3 linked regions of the Anolis sagrei genome follow. The protein of the gene in region 1 interacts with the protein of each later gene in a pairwise test. Links are inferred from orthologs where the notes say so. Each region holds a gene or a part of one and is shown in the gene's direction. Other genes may lie near its edges.

Region 1 (7,230 bases):
CCTAATGCAGTTGAAAAGTCTGAAAGTTTAAATGTTGCTTTAATCGTGACTTTAGTTTATATCCTGTTTGCTTCTCTTGACTTTTCTTTTGTATTCAAGGAAAGGATTGTTTCTTACAATGCTCCAGCAGTAGTCTGACAGCATTGACGGAGTCCATTTGCCTTGATATCTTTTCCCCATAGTGCTTTATTTACACACGTGTGAGGCATAACTACAGTAAAAAGAACAATGTAAAACGATGTTTAACGATACTGTCTCAGTCTTCAACTGACTGACCCTCACCGTTCAAAAGTCTGGCCTTAAATAGGGCTTTCTGGCTTTTGTACATGGCACTAATACTGCGTCATCAAACTTTCTAGAGTATTTTAGAATCTTCCATAGTGTAAGTCGCAACATGCATTTTTTCAAACATACATGATCACGTGATTGCTTATATCATAAAAACTAGAGCCAATATACATTTTTAAATGTCATTTTCGTTTTCAGGACCCCAAAATCATAAAAGAACAGCTATTTTCAGGCCCGCAACTTTCTAGAATCTTCCATAGTGTAAGTCGCAACATGCATTTTTTCAAACATACATGATCACGTGATTGCTTATATCATAAAAACTAGAGCCAATATACATTTTTAAATGTCATTTTTGTTTTCAGGACCCCAAAATCATAAAAGAACAGCTATTTTCAGGCCCGCAACTTTCTAGAATCGTCCATAGTGTAAGTCGCAACATGCATTTTTTTCAACCATACGTGATCACGTGATTGCTTATATCATAAAAACTAGAGCCAATATACATTTTTAAATGTCATTTTCGTTTTCAGCACCCCAAAATCATAAAAGAACAACTATTTTCAGGCCCGCAACTTTTTCTCCGTTGAACAGTGTTATTAAGTACAGTGGGCACTTTGGTTTCCAGACTCCCCTGTGGATACAAAAATCTGTAGATGCTCAAGTCCCAAGGGCCTAATACAATGGTACCCCTTATAAAAATGGCAAAATCAAGTATACCTGGCATTACCTGGGTGTTGTTAGGACTGCTCCCCACATACTGTCTCCCTTCTCCAGCTCTGAGAAGGCCTACCTCACAATGTCTCCATTTTTTTTTGTCATGTCAGAAGCGACTTAAGAAACTGCAAGTCACTTCTGGTGTGAGAGAATTGGCCATCTGAAAGGACGTTGCCCAGGGGACGCCCAGATGATTTTATGTTTTTATCATCCTTGTGGGAGGCTTCTCTCATGTCCCCGCATGAGGAGCTGAAGCTGATAGAGGGAGCTCATCTGCCTCTCCCCGGATTTGAACCTGCGACCTATCCTGCCAGCACAGTGGTTTAACCCACTGCACCACTGGGGGCTCCTACAATGTCTCCATGACAACATGGTTCTCTTATGCATGTCAACCAACAAGATCACAGAGGGCCACTTCCCCTAGCAACAGCCCCAACCAGTGGCATCACAGAGGGCCACTTTATCTAGCAACAGCCTTAATGGTAGAAACAGATAAACATGCATACTTTGCCTTTTCCATGCATGCAGAATCCATAGATATAGAGGAGTGAAAGCATACAGCAAAAAATGAAGAGGGGGGAGCATCCAACTTCTATGGAAGATTTGTTTCCCAGGATGTACCCCTCTCCAGGGGTAAGCATCATTTCTCTTCTAGGGACATTACATCTTCAACTGTAAATGCCCGAAGATACACCAGGGTGTTCAGAAACCTTTTACTGCTGCCAAATTTCTCATGACCCCAACACTGAGCAAAGGAAATTCCATTCGGGATCAGGGCCCACAGTTTAAGAAATAGTGATTTATACTGACTAGTTCAAAACCAACATAGGGGAAGTGGTATGGATGGTTTGATGGCAAGCCGTCGAACCAGGTTGAGGCCTGGATAGTGCTTATATGCAACACACAGGATGGCCTCCATCTGGTTTCAGAGCCTGCATCTTAAGAGATGCAGAGAATGTGGGTTATTTCCCTCCCAACTCCCTCTTCCACTTGAGCGGGTTGCTGGAGTGTTCCCTTGGTTCATTGCTTTTGCCATGCAGTGTGGGTTTTTTTTGTTGTCGTGTCAGGAACGACCGGAGTCGCTTCTGGTGTGAGAGAATTGGCCATCTGCAAGAACGTTGCCCAGGGGACGCCTGGATGATTTGATGTTTTATCATCCTTGTGGGAGGCTTCTCTCATGTCCCCGCATGAGGAGCTGGAGCTGATAGACGGAGCTCATCCGCCTCTCCCCGGATTCGAACCTGCAACCTGTCGGTCTTCAGTCCTGCCAGCACAGGGCTTTAATCCACTACGCCACCAGGGGCTCCAATGCAGTGTGGTTTAGCTGAAAGAGTGCCAATGGGCATTAAGGATTCTATTCTGGAGGAAGATGCCCCAACTTTGGTCATTTTACTTTAATCTTGATTATCATGGTGGGTATCATATAAGCAAGGGGACTAAGGTCTGTGGGCCAGATAAGGCCCTCCAAGGTAATTCACCCATTCCCTGCCCTAAACTTAAGACTGAGATCCGCCTTCAGTCTGAAGCGACTCGAAGGCACATGACAATCCTAATTAACTTGACTCTCTAATCAGCCAAAAGCAAATCCACACTTTCCGTTGAAATACTGGTAAGTTTGTGATGGTTAGAATTGTTTTTCGTTGTAAATATTGTCTTGTTCTTTCATGGATTTTTTTTTTGCACTACAAATAAGACACCTGCAGTGTGCACTGGAATTTGTCCATGTTTTTTCAGACTATAGTCTGAGAGACCGTAAATTGGCCCTCAGCACATAGAAGATGGCTTTGAAAGGCAGCAGATCACAGGAGCTGTCTTCATAGACTTGTCAGCAGCCTATGATACTGTGAACCACCACCTCCTCCTGAGAAAAATGCATAATATCACAAAGGACTACCACCTCACCCGCCTCATAGGAAACCTGCTACAAAACAGGAGCTTCTTTGTGGAGTTCCAGGGCCAGAGAAGCAGATGGCGGAAACTGAAGAACGGCCTGCCTCAGGGGAGCGTGCTTGCTCCATCCATGTTCAACATCTACACAAATGACCAGCCACTGTCAGAAGGGACAGAGAGTTTCATCTATGCTGATGATCGTGCCATTACCGCTCAAGCAGGGAGCTTTGAGATGGTAGAACAGAAGCTCTCCGAAGCTCTAGGTGCTCTTACTGCCTATTACAGGGAAAACCAACTGATCCCTAATCCATCTAAAACACAGACATGCGCCTTTCACCTTAAGAACAGACAAGCATCCCGAGCTCTGAGGATTACCTGGGAAGGAATCCCACTGGAGCATTGCAACACACCCAAATACCTGGGAGTCACTTTGGACCGTGCTCTGACCTACAAGAAGCACTGCCTGAACATCAAACAAAACGTGGGCGCTAGAAACAACATAATACGAAAGCAGACTGGCACAACCTGGGGATCACAACCAGACACAGTGAAGACATCTGCCCTTGCGCTATGCTACTCTGCTGCTGAGTATGCATGCCCAGTGTGGAACACATCTCACCACACTAAAACAGTAGATGTGGCTCTTAATTAGACATGCTGCATTATCACAGGGTGTCTGTGCCCCACACCACTGGAGAAATTACACTGCTTAGCCGGTATTGCACCACCTGACATCCGCCGGGAAGTAGCAGCCAATAGTGAAAGGACCAAGGCAGAGACATCTCCAGCTCATCCCCTGTTTGGGTATCAGCCAGCACGTCAACGACTTAAATCAAGACATAGTTTTCTTAGATCTACAGAGACACTCGCTGGAACACCCCAGCAAGCGAGAGTCCAAAAGTGGCAGGCCCAAACCCAGCACCTCATTTCAAAGACGACCAAGGAATAGGTTGTTCTTTCAAATGGCCTTTCCAAACCATCAGCTGTAATTATGAACCTTATTTAAAGGATAGCGTGGGGTTGTTCGCTCAGAGCCCCTAGAGACGGAGAAGGGTGCCCGAAAAGCCCACCCAGAGCCCCGCAGCAGCCTGCCACGCTCACCAGGACCAGCCCGACCCCCGCCAGCGCCGCCAGTCCTTCCACCAGCCACAGCAGCTCCATCGCTCCCCGCAAACGGCAAGAACGCCCAGCTTGCAGGAAAAGACACGGAGGCGGAAGCGGGCAGAGCCACAAGGCGGGGCAAAGGGCCGCTACAGCCTTAGCTTCCGGAGACAGGGAGCGCCGCAATTGGCGGGCCCAAGTCGTCCTCTTCTGGAGTTTTGAGGGCGGTCATGCCATGGCCTTTGAGGGCGGAAGCACGCGTTTGGGCTTCTGGGTTGGTGGAACGTGACGGAGATTTCGATCGTTACCCGTCCTTCCGCCAAAAGGAGCACTTCCGGCGCCGCGCTCGCTTCCTTCCGCTCAGACCCACCCAGGTCGGGAGCCTAGAGCGTCCTCATTGGCCCTTTGAGGAGCGCGTGAGGGAGAATGGCGGCGGCCGGTGGGTTCAGGTGAGGAGCGGCGCCCAGAGCCGTGTTGAGGACGAATGAGGCCCTGCGTTAGGGAAGTTCTGAGTCCCCTGACTTGAACTCGGGGGGAGGCCCGGTCAACGTACACTGCCTGCTTTGTGGCACACGCTCAGAGACTCCCGAAGGGTTCCTTGTTTATTGTTCAAATTGTTTCGCTGCTACAGTGTAAAAGTTCAGGGCAGAACCAATGGAAATAGACGAACCAGTCAACGAATGCTCTGCCATTAAGGTTTGATTACACTGTTGTTGTTCATTCGTGCAGTCGTCTCCGACTCTTCGTGACCTCATGGACCAGCCCACGCCAGAGCTCTCTGTCGGCCGTCACCACCCCCAGCTCCTTCAAATTCAGTCCAGTCACTTCAAGGATGCCATCCATCCATCTTGCCCTTGGTCGGCCCCTCTTCCTTTTGCCTTCCACTTTCCCCAACATAATTGTCTTCTCTACGCTTTGCTGTCTCCTCATGATGTGGCCAAAGTACTTCAACTTTGTCCCTAGTATCCTTCCTTCCAGTGAGCAGCCGGGCTTTATTTCCTGGAGGATGGACTGGTTGGATCTTCTCGCAGTCCAAGCCACTCTCAGAACTTTCCTCCAGCACCACAGTTCAAAAGCATCGATCTTCCTTCGCTCAGCCTTCCCTAAGGTCCAGCTCTCACATCCGTAGGTGACTACAGGGAATACCATGGCTTTGACTAGGCGGATCTTTGTTGCCAGTGTGATGTCTCTACTCTTTACTATTTTATCGAGACTGGACATTGCTCTCCTCCCAAGAAGTAAGCGTCTTCTGATTTTCTGGCCACAGTCTGCATCTGCAGTAATCTTTGCACCTAGAAATACAAAGTCTGTCACGGCCTCCACATTTTCTCCCTCTATTTTCCAGTTGTCAATCATTCTTGTTGCCATAATCTTGGGGTTTTTTTATGTTTAGCTGCAACCCAGCTTTTGCACTTTCTTCTTTCACCTTGATTAGAAGGCTCCTCAGGTCCTCCTCGCTTTCAGCCATCAGAGTGGTGTCATCTGCATATCTGAGGTTGTTAATATTTCTTCCAGCAATTTTCACCCCAGCTTTGCATTCATCCAGCCCTGCACATCGCATGATGTGTTCTGCATACAAGTTAAAAAGGTTGGGTGAGAGTATGCAGCCTTGCCGTACACCTTTCCCAATCTTGAACCAGTCTGTTGTTCCGTGGTCAGTTCTGACTGTTGCTACTTGGTCCTTGTACAGATTCCTCAGGAGAGAGACAAGGTGGCTTGGTATGCCCATCCCACCAAGAACTTGCCACAATTTATTATGATCCACACAGTCAAAGGCTTTAGAATAGTCAATGAAGCAGAAGTAGATGTTTTTCTGAAACTCCCTGCCTTTCTCCATTATCCAGCGGATATTGGCAATCTGGTCTCTCGTTCCTCTGCCTTTTCTAAACCCAGCTTGTACATCTGGCAACTCTCGCTCCATGTATTGCTGGAGTCTTCCTTACAGGATCTTGAGCATTACCTTACTGGCATGAGAAATAAGGGCCACTGTACGGAAGTTTGAGCAATCTTTCGCATTTCCCTTTTTTGGTATGTGGATACACTATGTAACAACATTTGAAAAAAATCTGTTCCTGGTTTGAAGGTGTTCTTTCCTGTTTAATTGTGCGCTACGTACTTTGAAAGTAGTTGTTCTACTCCAGAAACTTCGTTTTGTGGCTGCCGGAAACTATGTTGAATTGGTTGACACCTGATATTCAGTGGAAAATCTATAGCAGAATGTGCTGCAGAATGTCCTGCAAAAAGCAAGGCTTTTGCAGTTCAATAAACTTTCCCCATGTTTTAATTATAGAACGAATTAGGAAAAGCCAGGAACAAAAATTGTGTTACATAGTGCTATCAACTCTATCATTCTGTCTGGAATCTTATCGAAACGGAACACCTTCAAATTTAGAATTTCATCATGTTAGAGGCAGGCGGTGGGGAAGGGCCTCTTTCAGGCACCACTCTTGCCTCCTCGGTCTCTGTGCCGTTCCTCTCATTAAAGGCACATCTAAAAAGTTTCAGACCAGCATGGAAGAAAAGTAGTTTTACTGTGCAGACAATTTCATGGAAAATCTTGGAAATGGTTTGCGGCCCAGATGATGATCCTACAAAGCACTGATGCGCAGTTAGGGTTTCTTTTTATAGGATTTGTGGGAGTTTTTTTGTGTGGATGCCGCATTGCATTAAATGATTGGTGTAGATGGGGCCTAAGGCTGGTTCATGCTGCCTTGTTGCTGTTATTATTTATTTATTTATTCCGTGCTTTATATCCCCAAAGGGGACTCAAAGTGGCTTGATATAAAAGCCTTAGTATACAGTTTAAAATATACAAATCTATACATTTTAAAACAGAATTAAATACAAACAGCACTAAAACATTCACAGTTAAAATCCATTAAAACACATTCAAAGTTGAAAACCACAGCATCCCCTTACTAGATCTTAAACACCTTTATCTTTAAAAGTCTGTCATGGGACAGGGCCATTCTGGTTTCCTGGGAAGAAAGGGAATTCCAGAGTCAAGGGGCAGCCACTAAAAAGAAAGGCCCTCTCTCTCATTCCCACCAACCGAGCTTGAAATGGAGGTGTTACTGAGAGAAGGACCTCTCTTGAAAATCTCAGGACCTGGGCAGGTTTATACAAGTGGATGCGGTCAGCCTAAAATAGCCTGGACCTGGACCATCTAGGGCTTTAAAGTCATAACCTTTAAATTGTCATAAACTGGACCTGGAAACAGACTGGTAGCCAGTG
Region 2 (7,660 bases), on another chromosome or scaffold:
GAGGTTTGTGAGTGCCTCCTACAAGACATTTGGAAGCCATCCCTTCTATGAAAGATACATGAATCCCTTCTTGAATCCAGATAGCCATATCCTCCTGGAAATTTAAGAGAAAAAGAGCAATGATGGAGCAAACACATAGTAAGCCACACTGCTCTAAGTACCTTATTCACAGTCATCCAGTTGTGAGCAACCACTGACATTCATCTAGAGAAAGAAAAACAAGATGGCTCCTTACCAACATTCAGCAATTCTGCTGCATAAAAGCTGGCATTCAAGGGGAGATATAAACAAGTGAGGTTATGAGCAAAATATGAAGGAAGTAAATTGCAATAGGATCTTAGGATATTCCTCTGAGTCTGGAAGAAGCAGACTCTGTAGGACAATGCTGAGCAAATATCCTTTGAGCAGCAGGACAGCATTTGCTTTTTGGAAATATACATCCTTGCAGATGATCTCTATAGAAATCATATTTAATGGATTGTCCGTGTTTTTAAATAAAAAGCATTTTATAAATAAACATGATCATCATCCTCATTCTAATTTTATTTATTTATTTATTTATTTCCCGTGTTTTGACTTTTGCTCATCATGGGAATGAAGCTTTAGAGCCCGAGAGTCTGTGATGGTCCCAGTGTTTCCTTGCTTTCATGGTGGAATTGTTACACCTAATATATACCAATTAAGAGGAACCCTTTCTCCAAAATGATTGGGCATTGAAAGCACATGTGCAGCTTTCATTCAGATTACCAATTATTTAAAAAATCAGCCTATATTGACGCTTTGCATTTTTTGCAGTGTTAAATTTGCATAATCACAATCCCCAAACTAGCAGTTTTGGGGCTCTAATTATATGGTTTATTGTGTTCTTTCCAGGATGGCATTCTGTAGCGCAGTAGCAGAGGTGCCGCCTACTTCTTTGTGTAGCACCAAATGGAGATATTTAAGCTTTGAAGGCTCTGAATACCGTCTAATCCAGCCTTCCTCAAACCTTCAGAGGTGCTGGGACTACAATTCCCATCCTTTCCAGCCAGCAGGAATGATTTATTTAATTTTTAAATATACACACACAAAACACATATACACAGACTGGGCCACAGCAACACGTGGCAGGGGACGCCTAGTATACAATAAATCAATAAGCATCTATAAACATAGCAAATAAAACTAATAGTCCAAAAATGATTTCTTAGTCATTTAGAATAATTGGTTTCCAGACTCAGGGCGGCTTACAAACGAAGGCACAAGTCGATGCCTAAATCAATAAACAAACAATACATAAAAGCATTTTAAACGATTAACAAGTTAAAAACATTAATACATAGTAAAATAGCAAAACAATCTCATGCTCAGTGTTCAGAGTCCGTTTATCCATTCTATTCCGTTCGCCCTTGTTTATCGTCCGATCTTTCCTTAGCTGCCAGAATATCCAAAAGCTTGGTCCCATATCCAGGTCTTCAATTTTTTTCTGAACGCCAAAAGGGAAGTCGCTGTTCTAATCTCCCCGGGGAGTGAGTTCCACAGGTGAGGGGCCACCACTGAGAAGGCCCTGCTCCTCGTCCCCGCCAACCTCACTTGTGATAGTGGCAGGGTCGAGAGCAGGGCCTCCCCAGACGATCTTAAATTTCGAGATGGGATGTAGAGGGAGATCCGTTCAGACAAATACACTGGGCCGGAACCGTATAGGGTTTTGTAGGTCAAAACCAGCACTTTGAATTGTATTCAGAATTGGATTGGCAGCCAGTGGAGCTGGCATAACAGAGTGGGACTAACATAAGATTTTGTCTAAGTCTTGGAAAGGCTGATGTAGCCCAGCCTAAAAATGTGAGAAAGTAAACTCCCAGCATTCCATTTCTGATGGATTATTTGGTGGAAAAATTATTTTTACAGGTATAACTTGCTATTAAATCACTATCACAAGACTAGAAATATACCGCAAAAACCTGTTTTAACTATGAGTTTTCCAAATAAATTAAGACCATGGAAAACAAAGAGAGAAGTTAGCTATGAATATCTGAAGCCTTGTGGATTACAGTGAGTGCTGACATACCCCGAAGGCACCGCATCTTCTCTGATCTTGGAAACTAAGCAAGGTCAGACCCGCTTAATACTTGGATGTGGGGTCACCAAGGAATACCTTTTGCCGCAGGCTATATTTTCAGACAAAGGCAACACCAAACCTCCTCTGACAGTTCTTGCCAAGGAAGCCCTATGATAAGGTCACCATAGGTTGGGGTCGACTTGAAGGCACAGAACAACAGAGTGCAATCGACTTGTAGTGAAACTTTACCAATGTATGTACCGATCTGATCAGAAATTCCATTCATCTCTATGAGGCTTATCACTGAGTAAGTGGATACACTGTCTCATTTAAATCAAGCATTGCTTTATCTTCCCATCGGGAAGGGCCTTTTCTCACTTGGGTTTCAAACACCATCATTGAACTGTACTGCTAAGGAGTTCACTTGGATACTGCTCACTGCGCCAAAGGGAACAACAAAACTGGGAATGGCTTTTAGTCCCCAAAACAAGAATGGACAACCTGTGGCTCTATTTTCCTCTGATGCTTCTAAACTGGTGGGACCACCTCCACATTTCCCTTCCTTTAGTCAAGGAGAGGAAGAAAATGTGATTTCTGCTGTTGATAGTGATGGATGAGCAAGATGCTAAGGTGAGGTTATGGCAGGTATGGGCAAACTTGGGCCCTCCAGGTGTTTTGGACTTCCCCACAATTCCTAATAGCCTACTGGCTGTTAGGAATTGTGGGAGTTGAAGTCCAAAACACCTGGAGGACCGAAGCTGGCCCATGTCTGGGTTATGCAATGCTCAGATAACTGCTGGATTGACTGAGTGGGCTGGTGCTCCCTGCTCAACCCACAAGCACCCACTGGCTGAGGAATGTGAATGTGCTGAGTTGTGTGTGTGTGTGTTGAGAATACGCATTTACCCATGCTCGGGCAATGAAATGTGCATGTAGGGAATGAGTGTCCATCCTCTGCCTGGAATACCATACAGACCCCAACTCTTTGTCTATAACTAAAAGAGACTGAGCATTTTTGGTGGCCACAGCTTGAGTCAAGCTTAATGAAGGTCCATTTCAGTTGTCCACGACTTGGCAGTAAACAGCATGTGTACTCAACTGTATCACCAGAGAGCTAACCATTGAGCAACCAGCCCTGAAGTCCCAAAGCCAACCTTAAACAGCATCCAACACAATATCATGAAAGGGGTGCTTTGAATGCAATTTTCTTTCTTCTTGGCAGGGGTTGGACCGGATGGCCCAAGAGGTCTCTTCCAACTCTATGATGTAGTTCCCAGTTGAGGAAGGGAGATATTAGGAAAACAGAAGGAAGAAGGGTATTGGGGTGAGAGTGGTGATCCAATTCCCCCCAGTCTTTCCTTGATATCCTAGTCCCCCAATCAATACATGTAGAATGGATTGAATTCCTGTTTGTGAGTAAACAAAGTATGTTGTCTTTTAAAGAAGATTTTTTTTTTGTCTCTGAGCACATATTTTAAACTAAGAGGTTTCAAAGAGGAGTATATGTTTTGGGCAACTGCAATTTCAAATTCAAATTCAAATAAACATTTTCAAACGCTGCTAGCTAAGTATTGGTTTTTTGTGGAGTGGCATGTCTGGCAGTTCAAAGACATGGTTCACCAGATTAACAGCCAAGTTACCTGTGTGCCATTACATGCTTGTGAACATCACTTATTCAAAGGGTTGAATTCTAAACAAGGTCATGCCTTTCCTTGACTAGTGGTTTCCAAATGGTGGTCGCCAGATGTTCATGGAGATTCACATTTGCCAAAAGGATATGACATCCTTTCCAAAAAGGTTATGAAACATTTTCAAAACTCTGCTGGCTAAGTATATGTTTTTTTGTGCAGTGGCATGTCTTTGTCCCTGGAAGTTCAAAGGCTTGGTTTATCAGTTTAACAGCCAAGTTACCTGTGTGCCATTACATGAATACTTGTGAACATCACTTATTCAAAGGGTTGAGTTCTAAACAAGGGCAAGCCTTTCCTTGACTAGTGGTTTTCGAAAGGTGGTCTCGAGGTGTTCATGGAGATTCACATTTGACAAAAGGATATGACATCATTTTTCCCTTCCAAAAAGGTTATGAATGCCATTTTCCCAAAAGTTTCAGGTTAAAAAAACCCCCGCTTTACTCATGAATTTGTTAACCAGTTAAAATTCATGAGTAAATAAGTTTTTTTAACCTGAAATATTTTTGGGGGGTGGTGGTGAAATCCTTATACCTCCCCCTTCTCCCGACTCCAGGCCTGCAGGAAAGGCTCCGCATCCTCCTAGCCATGGCCACCTCCTCCATCCTTTCCCCTGCTCGCGTGACATCACAATGAGTCCTCCTCAGCATCCCTTCCTTCCTTCCTTCCTTCCTTCCTTCCTTCCTTCCTTCCTTCCTTCCTTCCTTCCTTCCTTCCTTCCTTCCTTCCTTCCTTCCTTCCTTCCTTCCTTCCTTCCCTCCCTCCCTCCCTCCTTCCTTCCTTCCTTCCTTCCTGGCATCTCTCCTGATCTTTTCAAAGTCTGGGGGAAAGTCCTTCCAAGGGAGGGAGGGGGGAGGGGGCGTGGCGTTCTCTCCCTGGCCACGCCCCTTCCCTGCCCCGCGCGGGCAGATAGGCAGGCAGGCCCCGCCCCTCGCTCGCGCACTCGCTCGCTCCCCTCCCGTCTCCTCCTGCGCGCGCGGCCCCTCGGCGCCTCCCCGCCCGGCTTTGTTCCCATTGTGTGCCTGCCTGCCTGCCTGTTTTGCTTGCCTGCCTGCCTGCCTTTGCCAATCCATCCGCGGCCGGGAAGACGGAGAGCGGCCTTTTGCGGGGAGGCCTGTTCCTCCTGCAGCGGAGGGAAGGAGGCAGGGAGGGATGGAGGCCGCGCTGCTGCAGCCCCTGGCGGCCGAGGTGAAGCCCGGCGGGGCGGTGAGCGCCGAGCTGGAGGTGAAGAAGCTGCAGGAGCTGGTGCGCAAGCTGGAGAAGCAGAACGAGCAGCTCCGCAGCCGCGCCTCCGCCTCGCCCCCGGGCCCCGCCGCCGGATCCCCGCTCCAGCAGCTGCTCCTCTCCTCCCTCCAGGCCCAGCAGCAGCAGCAGCAGCAGCACCCGCTCCCCGCCAGCGCCAACGCCGCTTCGCCCCCGGCACTCAGCCCCAGCCCCAGCGGGGAGCCCTTCGTCTACTTCAAGCCCTCGCCCGGAGAAGGAGGAGGGGGAGGGGGAGGAAGGGCGTCCCCGGAGGGCCCCCTCCCCGCCGCCACCTTCCTGGACGAGGTGGAGGTGCTGGACCTGCGGGCGGAGCGCCAGGAGAGGGACGCCGAGACCTGGTGAGTGAGGAGGAAGGGACCCGGGTGGAGGCACCCCTCCCTCCCTCCCTCCCTGATTGGCAGGAGACCCCTTCGCTGCCCTTTGGAGCCCTCGAGGTCTGGGGGGGGGGGGGAGAGGCCAGCCCCGCACAGCCAAGCCCTGTGGTCTGGGAGGCGCCCTTCAGGGGTGGTGGTGGGGGCGGGGGGATAGTGCAGATTCTGAGGGGGTGGGCTGTGGAAGCAGAGGCTTCCCTCCCTCTCTTCCTTCTGTTCTCTTCCTCCCTTTCCTTTCTTCGCTTCCCTTCCTTCCCTTCCTTTCGTTCCCTTCCTTCCTCCCTTCCCTCCTTTCCTCTCTTCGCCTCCCTTCCTCCCTCTTCCTCACTTCCTTCCTCCCTTCCTTTCCCTTCCTGCTTTCCTTTTCTTCCTTCCCTCCCTTCCCTTTCCTTCCCCCCTTTCCTTCCTTCCCTCCCTCACTTCCTTCCCTTCCTCCGCTTCTCTTCCTCCCTCCCTCCATTTCCCTCCCTTCCTTCCTTTCCCTCCCTTCCGTATCCTTCCTTCCCTTTCCTTCCCTTCCCTCCCCCTTTCCTTCCTTTCCCTTCCTTCCGTATTCTTCCTTCCTCCCTGTCTTCCTTTCCTTTCTTCACTTCCCTTCCTCCCTCCCTTTCTTCGCTTCCCTCCCTCCCTTCCTTTCCTTCTCTCCCTTCTCTCCTTTCCCTCTCTTCCTTTTCCTTCCTTCCCCCCTCCCCCCCCCCTCTCTCTCTCTCTCGCAGTGCGCTCCCTTCCTTCCTTCCCTTCCTCCTCGTGGCGGGATTTCAGGACTGTGGCCAGCGACCCTTGGGCTGCTTGTTGCGCTCTGGAGGAGGAGGAGGAGGAGGAGGAGGAGGAGGAGGCGGCCTTGGCGGTGGCGGGGGTGATGGATGGCGCCGCAGCGAGGCCGTGCCTTCTTCCGCTGCGTGGGAAGCCAAGGGCCTTCCTGGGGGCGCCTTTCTTTTCCAGAGCCAAGGAGCACAAAGGGGACCCAGGCCTCAGACACTCAACAAAAGGGGGCCCCGCTTGGATTGCATGCCTCTCTCGCTCTCCCTGCCTTCCTCGCTACCCTCCTCCTCCTCCTCTCTCCTCCGCTTTCCGAAGTGTTCCCGCGTTTTCTCCCCCTTCAGCCTTCAGCCTGTCGTTCCTCTCAATGCGGGCGGAGTCTTGATTTGCCTCAGGAAAAGCGATTGAATCCGGGCCCTTTTTAAGGCTAATAGCTCCCCTCGGAGGGATGCATTGGGCAGGAGAGAAGGGAAAGGGGAGATTCTGGGCCAAGCGTGGGCAAACCTCGGCCCTCCAGGTGTTTTGGACTTCAACTCCCACCCTTCCTAACAGCCACAGACCCTTTCCTTTTCTTCTCCTTTTCTACTTAAGCGGCTGAGGGGGGAAAGGAAGGGGCCTCAGGCTGTTGTGGAAGTCCAAAGCACCCGGAGGAAGGGCAAATTTGCCCAGGCCTGGTCGCAATACCCAGCTGCCTATCTGCACCATGGCATATTGACTGACAATTGCCATCTCTCCAACCCTCTTGTCCCTTTAAAAAAGCAGCTGTCGTGATTGAAGTACAGCCCAGAGGAAGTGGTTTGGTTCTCCATTATGCTTTGTTTTTGCCTCCCCCGCTCTTGCCAGTCATTCCTCCTGTCTTCTGCCAATGAGACCTATTCTTAAAATTGACACAACACACCTTGTTTCTGACTGTGATATAGTTATAAATTGGGAGCTGCCTGTAAAAAAAAAATCAACGCATCCTAATAAAGAAGAGTGCTGATTTCATTTGGTTGTTTTTTTGAGATGAGGAAGCCATGTTTGATATTTATCTAAGGCTTCTTCTTCTTCTTTTTTTTAAGTGTTCCTAGTATGCCTCTTTTAAAAAAATAATACTAATTCATATTGTTTTTGTGTTGACAAAGGCTTTCATGGCTGGAATCACAAGTTGCTGTGAGTTTTCCAGGCTGTATAGCTATGTTCCAGAAGCATTCTCTCCTGATGTTTTGCTCACATCTATGGCAGGCATCCTCAGAGGTTGTGGGGCATGTTGGAAACTAGGGAAGTGGGGCTGATATAACTGTGGAATAGTGTCCAGGGTGGGAGAAAGAACTCTTGTCTCTTTGAAGCTGCAAGGCCATTCAATGCTAATCAAGGTGGCCAATTGCAGCATCCACACTTGCCTCAAGCAGACAAGAGTTTTCTCTCCCACTCTGGACATTCCACAGATATATAAACCCCACTTGCCTAGTTTCCAACAGACCTCACAACATCTGAGGATGCCTGCCGTATATATGGGCAAAATGTCAGGAGAGAATGCTCCCTGAACATGGCCATACTGC
Region 3 (7,660 bases), on another chromosome or scaffold:
TGCAAGGCCATTCAGTGCTAATCAAGCTGGCCAGTGGCAACATTTACACTGGCCTCAAGTAGACAAGAGTTCTTTCTCCCACCCTGGACATTATTCTACTGCCCTGGAGACTAGGAAACGGAACAATGGCTTCAAACTACAAGAAAGGAAATTCCATCCGAACGTTAGGAAAAACTTCCTGACTGTGAGAGTCATTCAGCAGTGGAGTGTGGTGGAGGCTCCTTCTTTGGAGGCTTTTAAACAGAGGCTGAATGGCCATCTGTCAGGGGTGCTTTGAATGCAATATTCCTGCTTCTTGGCAGAATGGGGTTGGACTGGATGGCGCATGAGGTCTCCAGGGCATAAAAGCCTCCAAAGAAGGAGCCTCCATAGAACCCTCTAATTCTATGATTCTACAGTTGTATAAACCCCACTTAGTTTCCAACAGACCTGACAACTTCTGAGGAGGCCTGCCATAGATGTGGGTGAAACCTCAGGAGAGAATGCTCCTGAAACATGGTCAGACAGCCCAGAAAACTCACAGCAAGCCAGTGATTCTGGCCATGAAAGCCTTCAACAACAACAACAACAAAAAGGACATTTAGCATAATGCCGAGCTTTTAACTTTGTTTGTAGTTTTTCTACACATTATAGCTATTGTCTCAATTTGGTTCTTACATGCTAAATAAATAAATATTCCGTCGTCTGAATCATTGACAAAGATGTTGATATTCCATGGCCTGCATAGGTCTCTGTCACACCCAGGGGCGGCTCAACCCATTACGCAAAGTAAGCATTTGCAGTATAGATTTTGCCCAGGGGCGCTCTTGAGGCGCTCTTGGGGGGAAATAGACCTTGACATATGCAAGTTGTAGTTACTGGGATGTATAGTTCAGACAAGAATTCAGAATCCAGACAAGACAGAGGTACTCCTGGTCAGTCGTAAGGCCAAACAGGGCATAGGGTTACAGCCTGTGTTGGATGGGGTCACGTTCCCCCTGAAGACGCAGGTTTGCAGCTTGGGTGTGATCCTGGACTTGTCGCTGAGTCTGGAACCTCAGGTTTCGGCGGTGACCAGGGGAGCATTTGCACAATTAAAGCTTGTGTGCCAGCTGCGCCTGTACTTGGCCACGGTAGTACACGCTCTGGTTACATCCCGTATAGACTACTGCAATGAGCTCTCCGTGAAGTTGCCCTTGAAGACTGTTCGGAGACTTCAACTAGTCCAACGGGCAGCAGCCAGATTACTCACCGGAGTGCCATACAGGGAGCATACAACCCCCCTGCTGCGTCAGCTCCACTGGCTGCCGGTTTGCTACCGGGCTCAATTCAAAGTGCTGGCTTTGGCCTATAAAGCCCTAAACGGTTCTGGCCCAACTTTCCTGTCCGAATGCATCTCCCCTTATGAATCATCAAGGACTTTGAGATCGTCCGGGGAGGCACTGCTCTCGGCCCCGCCTTCGTCACAAGTATGATTGGCGGGGGCGAGAGACAGGGCCTTATCAGTGGTGGTCCCTCAGCTATGGAACACCCTCCCTAGAGGAATTAGATCTGCTCTCTTCCTCTTAACGTTTCGGAAGCAAGATTATTATTATTATTATTATTATTATTATTATTATTACTTTATTTGTACCCCGCTAGCATCTCGATGGGGAGATGCTGCTTACATAGGCCAAGGCCTCAAAACACCATACAACAATACAATACCTAAAGCAAATTAAAAACAGTTAAGCAGTATAAACAACAGACAATAAACAATACATCAAGACACTATAAAACTGGGCCAGGCCAGAGTAATGGGTACAAGATTAAAAGTGCTGATGTGGCAGGAGGTATGTAGGATTATAAAATAGGTGCAGTGTGCGGTGTGCAGCAATCTCAGTTCTACTAAAGTGCTTCTGGGACTTGGTATTGGAGATTCCTAATCTGGGAAGGCACATTGGAACAGCCAGGTCTTCAAGTTCTTTCTGAAGACTGCCAATATAGGGGCCTGTCTAAGATCTTTTGGGACGGCATTCCAGAGTCGGGGGGCCACCACAGAAAAGGCCCTGTCTCGAGTCCCCACCAAGCGCGCTTGCGACGCAGGCGGGATCACGAGCAGGGCCTCTCCGGATGAGCGAAGTGAACGTGCGGGTTCATAGACGGAGATGCGGTCATGCAGGTAGGGTGGTCCCAAACAGTTCAGGGCTTTGTAGGTAAGCACCTGCACCTTAAATTGGGCTCGGAAAATAAACGGCAGCCAGTGGAGCTCCTTGAACAGGAGGGTTGACCTCTTTCTGTAATGAGCCCCGGTTAACATCCTGGCTGCTGCCCGTTGGACCAGTTGGAATTTCCGAGCCATTTTCAAGGGCAGCCCCACGTAGAGCGCATTGCAGTAGTCCAATCTAGAGGTGACCAAGGCATGGACCACCCCGGCCAGATCAGCCTTCGCGAGGTATGGTCGCAGCTGGCGCACGAGTCTCAATTGTGCAAATGCCCTCCCGGACACCGCCGACGCCTGAGCCTCAAGCGTAAGTGATGAATCCAAGAGGACTCCCAAGCTGTGGACCTGTGGCTTCAGGGGGAGTGTAACCCCGTCCAACACAGGTTGCCACCCTATACCCCGATCTGGTTTTCACCCTCTTTCAATGTAAAAATTGCACTATAAAAATTAAATAAAAAACAAAACAAACATGGCTATTTGAGCAAGCGTTCACAAATACAGAGTAACAGATATAGATAACTAATATAGGAAATCTGACGATTTGACGATGGAACTGGACAATGCTTGACAATATGTTGTTTTTATTGCTTGTTGTGTTTTATGTTGTTTTAATGTTTAATTTGTATACTGTTTTGTTGGAAACCGCCTTGAGTCGCCGATAGTCTGATTAAGGCGGTATACAAATACAGCAAATAAATAAATAAATAAATAATGCAATCAAAGAGCATTCTGAACTCCACCAATGATGGAACTGAACCAAATATGGCACACAGAACTCCCACGACGAATCATAGAATCATAGAGTAGGAAGAGACCTCATGGGCCATCCAGTCCAACCCCATTCTGCCAAGAAGGAATATTGCATTCAAATCACCCCTGACAGATGGCCATCCAGCCTCTGCTTAAAAGCTTCCAAAGAAGGAGCCTCCCCCACACTCCGGGGCAGAGAGTTCCACTGCTGAACGGCTCTCACAGTCAGGAAGTTTATTATTCATTTATTTATTATTTAAACTTATATGCCGCCACTCCCCTGGGGCTCGGAGCGGCTTACAAGAATAGCTAAAATCTAACAAAGTTTTAAAGCAATTTAAAACAATTTAAAAACAACAGTATCAAACATTATAAGCCTGTTGAAACAGGTATGTCTTCCATGCCCTGCGGAAAGCTGGTAAGTCCCGCAGGGCACGAACTTCAGGTGGCAGAGCATTCCAGACTGATGGCGCCACTGCTGTGAAGGCTCTGCGTCTGGTTGCCGCTAGACGCAAGGTCTTGACACTGGGGACTTCCAATAGATCTTGGTCCTCAGAACAGAATGGAATCTCCTCTCTTGTAGTTTGAAGCCATTGTTCCCTTGCGTCCTAGTCTCCAGGAAAGCAGAAAACAAGCTTGCTCCCTCCTCCCTGATGCATTGTCTTGCTGAAGACGGACACCTTTAATGAGAATGCCACATTGTCTCTTGGTTTGGATGGCCTCCCACAATGTCTGCCTAGTATGCCCCAGTAGTCATGGTCCCCTTTGCTAAGGAATCCATCAATCCTGCTCCATGCTGGTCCCAGAATACTGTGAATACTTGCCTGCTGAGAGTTGAGCATATGCCTTCTTTGGAGGTCATGAATCATAGAATCATAGAATCAAAGAGTTGGAAGAGACCTCATGGGCCATCCAGTCCAACCCCATTCTGCCAAGAAGCAGGAATATCGCATTCAAATCACCCGAAGCTTCCGAAGAAGGAGCCTCCACCACACTCTGGGGCAGAGAGTTCCACTGCTGAACGGCTCTCACAGTCAGGAAGTTCTTCCTAATGTTCAGATGGAATCTCCTCTCTTGTAGTTTGAAGCAATTGTTCCGCATCCTAGTCTCCAAGGAAGCAGAAAACAAGCTTGCTCCCTCCTCCCTGTGGCTTCCTCTCACATATTTATACATGGCTATCATATCTCCTCTCAGCCTTCTCTTCTAAACATGCCCAGCTCCTTACGCCGCTCCTCATAGGGCTTGTTCTCCAGATCCTTGATCATTTTAGTTGCCCTTCTCTGGACACATTCCAGTTTGTCAACATCTCTCTTGAATTGTGGTGCCCAGAATTGGACACAATATTCCAGGTGTGCTCTAACCAAGGCGGAGTAGAGCATGGGGAGCATGACTTCCCTGGAGTCATGGAGCACTATGCTCCTCTTGATGCAGGCCAAAATCCCATTGGCTTTTTTTGCTGCCACATCACATTGTTGGCTCATTTTAACTTGTTGTCCACGAACAGAAAATATATATCAGTGATTGGTTGGGGGGGGGGGGGGGGGGTGCCAAAATAAAAATTACCAAGGGCTGCCTCTGGTCACACCTAAGTCAGTGATCTCTTTGATCTGGAACTGAAATGTGCCTGTCCTGACCCTCTGTGGAAGTGGTTTTGAACCTTGCCGCAAAGACAATAGGAGTGGTCCCATTGCATCCCCATTCGCTGTGGCGACTGCCCATCAGGCCAGAGGAAGGAGGAGCTCCACTCTTGAATAAAGTTGCAACAGGGAGACCAGATGTGCTTCCGCCTGGAGAAAGCGCTCGGATGCTTGCAGTGCCTGAGAAAGAAGCACAGCTCTTCTTTGGAGGCCTTTCTCTCTCCTCTCAGGTATGCCTGGGGCCAGGTGAAGGCAAGCAGGGAATTGCTGGGAATCGCATGGCATAGCCTGATCCCAGATTGTGTTATGAGCGGGTGGCAAATGCTTCTCTGTAGGTTTGCGTCTCTGGAAAGGAAGGTCATTCGAGGACAGCCTCAGTGAGGGTTTATTTTTGGGCATGGAGCGGCAAGAGGAAGAGGAGTCGGACTTCAAGAAGGGAAAAAAGGACGACCCAAACAACTACCGTCCGGTCAGCCTCACGTCGATACCGGGCAAGATTCTGGAAAAGATTGTTAAGGAAGTGGTCTGCAAACACTTAGAAACAAATGCAGTCATCGCTAATAGTCAACATGGATTTATCAAAAACAAGTCATGCCAGACTAATCTGATCTCTTTCTTCGATAGAGCTACAAGCTGGGTAGATGCGGGGAATGCCGTGGATGTAGCGTACCTGGATTTCAGTAAGGCCTTCGACAAGGTCCCCCATGACCTTCTGGCAAGGAAACTAGTCCAATGTGGGCTAGGCAAAACTACGGTGAGGTGGATCTGTAATTGGTTAAGTGGACGAACACAGAGAGTGCTCACTAATGCTTCCTCTTCATCTTGGAAAGAAGTGACGAGCGGAGTGCCGCAGGGTTCCGTCCTGGGCCCGGTCCTGTTCAACATCTTTATTAATGACTTAGATGAAGGGCTAGAAGGCAGGATCATCAAGTTTGCAGACGACACCAAATTGGGAGGGATAGCCAATAGTCCAGAGGACAGGAGCAGAATTCAAAACGATCTTGACAGATTAGAGAGATGGGCCAAAACTAACAAAATGAAGTTCAACAGTGACAAATGCAAGATACTCCACTTTGGCAGAAAAAATGAAATGCAAAGATACAGAATGGGGGACGCCTGGCTCGAGAGCAGTACGTGTGAAAAAGATCTTGGAGTCCTCGTGGACAACAAGTTAAACATGAGCCAACAATGTGATGTGGCGGCAAAAAAAGCCAATGGGATTTTGGCCTGCATCAATAGGAGCATAGTGTCTAGATCTAAGGAAGTAATGCTACCCCTCTATTCTGCTTTGGTTAGACCACATCTGGAATACTGTGTCCAATTCTGGGCACCACAATTCAAGAGAGATGTTGACAAGCTGGAAAGTGTCCAGAGGAGGGCGACTAAAATGATCAAGGGTCTGGAGAACAAGCCCTATGAGGAGCGGCTTAGGGAACTGGGCATGTTTAGCCTGAAGAAGAGAAGGCTGAGAGGAGATATGATAGCCATGTATAAATATGTGAGAGGAAGCCACAGGGAGGAGGGAGCAAGCTTGTTTTCTGCTTCCTTGGAGACTAGGACACGGAACAATGGCTTCAAACTACAAGAGAGGAGATTCCATCTGAACATTAGGAAGAACTTCCTGACTGTGAGAGCCGTTCAGCAGTGGAACTCTCTGCCCCGGAGTGTGGTGGAGGCTCCTTCTTTGGAAGCTTTTAAGCAGAGGCTGGATGGCCATTTGTCAGGGGTGATTTGAATGCAATATTCCTGCTTCTTGGCAGGGGGTTGGACTGGATGGCCCATGAGGTCTCTTCCAACTCTATGATTCTATGATTCTATGATTCTATGATTAAGGCTAGAGAGGGGCTTCTTTTCCTTCCTTTCAATCAGCCAAATGGAATAGCTCCTTAAAAGCTTTTCTCATTGGTTTAAATCTATGTATATAATAAAAGTCAGTGTTTGTATGCGGAGGGAGGACAGTGTATGTGGCAGCTGTCTGATTGGCTGCCAATTTCACAGGCCATGGGTGATGGACCTGGATCAAACTTGGCACACATAACCCCCATGATCCCCTTTACGTCCTGGTGAGGTTTGGGGGAGAATGGACACAGGTTGATGGGATTTGTAGTACTTCAAACCCATCAGTTCACACAGACCACTGTGGCCCCCAACAAAGACTAATAAAGAGGAAGCTTTCTTTCTAGGCTGAGGCTGGATCTACATTGCCATATAATCCAGATTATCAAAGAAGATAATCAGGTCAGCGGTTCGAATCCGGGGAGAGCTGGTTGAGCTCCCTCTGTCAGCTCCAGCTCCTCATGTGGGGACATGAGAGAAACCTCCCACAAGGATGGCAAACATCAAAACATCCAGGTGTCCCCTGGGCAACGTCCTTGCAGATGGGCAATTCTCTCACACCAGAAGTGACTTGCAGTTTCTCAAGTCTCTCCTGACACAAAAAATATCTACACTATCTACTTTGAACTGGATTATATTAGGCTATACTGCTATATAATCCAGATGATCAAAGGTTGACTCAGGGTCAACCTAAGTCTGAAATGACTTGAAAGCACACAACAACAACAACAACGATCTCATCTCACCAGCCAAAAGCAGGCCCACACTTCCCACTGAAATATCAATAAGTTTATATTTGTTAAAATTGTTCTTCATTTTAATTATTGTATTGATTTGAAGTGTTTTTGCACTACAAATAAGATATGTGTAGTGTGTAATTTTTTTTTCAAATTATAATCCAGCCCTCCAACAGTTTGAGGGACTGTGACCTGTTAAAAAAGTTTGAGAACCTCCAGAGGTTCTCAAACCCTTGTGCCAGCAGAACTGATGACTGACAGGTGGTTTGAATCTGGGGAGAGCAGGTTGAGCTCCCTCTGTCAGCTCCAGCTCCCTAAGCAGGGACATGAGAGAAGCTTCCCACAAGGATGGTAAAACATCCGGGCAACGTCCCCTGGGGAACGTCCTTGCAGATGGCCAATTCTCTGACACCAGAAGTGACTTGCAGTGTCTCAAGTCGCTCCTGACATGAATAAAATCCACATTATCTGCTTTGAACAGGATTATATGAGTCTACGGAGCCCCCGGTGGCGCAGTG

The links.
Region 2: the proteins of EXOSC8 (region 1) and SLAIN1 interact in binary tests that used the Homo sapiens proteins (3 or more experiments, as listed by UniProt). The link is inferred for Anolis sagrei from reciprocal best matches to the Homo sapiens genes EXOSC8 and SLAIN1.
Region 3: the proteins of EXOSC8 (region 1) and DUSP23 interact in binary tests that used the Homo sapiens proteins (3 or more experiments, as listed by UniProt). The two-hybrid records come from large-scale screens. The link is inferred for Anolis sagrei from reciprocal best matches to the Homo sapiens genes EXOSC8 and DUSP23.

What each region holds. Positions count from the first base shown.
Region 1 is NC_090022.1:166,884,942-166,892,171, forward strand, and holds the start of EXOSC8 (exosome complex component RRP43), read left to right. Parts: upstream 1-4,211; 5' UTR 4,212-4,226; coding exon 4,227-4,445; intron 4,446-7,230. Other genes in the region: ALG5 (dolichyl-phosphate beta-glucosyltransferase), read right to left, coding at 3,997-4,056. UniProt on the Homo sapiens protein: Non-catalytic component of the RNA exosome complex which has 3'->5' exoribonuclease activity and participates in a multitude of cellular RNA processing and degradation events.
Region 2 is NC_090023.1:127,617,490-127,625,149, reverse strand, and holds the start of SLAIN1 (SLAIN motif-containing protein 1), read left to right. Parts: upstream 1-4,655; 5' UTR 4,656-4,878; coding exon 4,879-5,327; intron 5,328-7,660. UniProt on the Homo sapiens protein: Microtubule plus-end tracking protein that might be involved in the regulation of cytoplasmic microtubule dynamics, microtubule organization and microtubule elongation.
Region 3 is NC_090032.1:13,169,643-13,177,302, forward strand, and holds the start of DUSP23 (dual specificity protein phosphatase 23), read left to right. Parts: upstream 1-4,655; 5' UTR 4,656-4,799; intron 4,800-6,750; exon of another isoform or gene 6,751-6,807; intron 6,808-7,660. UniProt on the Homo sapiens protein: Protein phosphatase that mediates dephosphorylation of proteins phosphorylated on Tyr and Ser/Thr residues. In vitro, it can dephosphorylate p44-ERK1 (MAPK3) but not p54 SAPK-beta (MAPK10) in vitro. Able to enhance activation of JNK and p38 (MAPK14).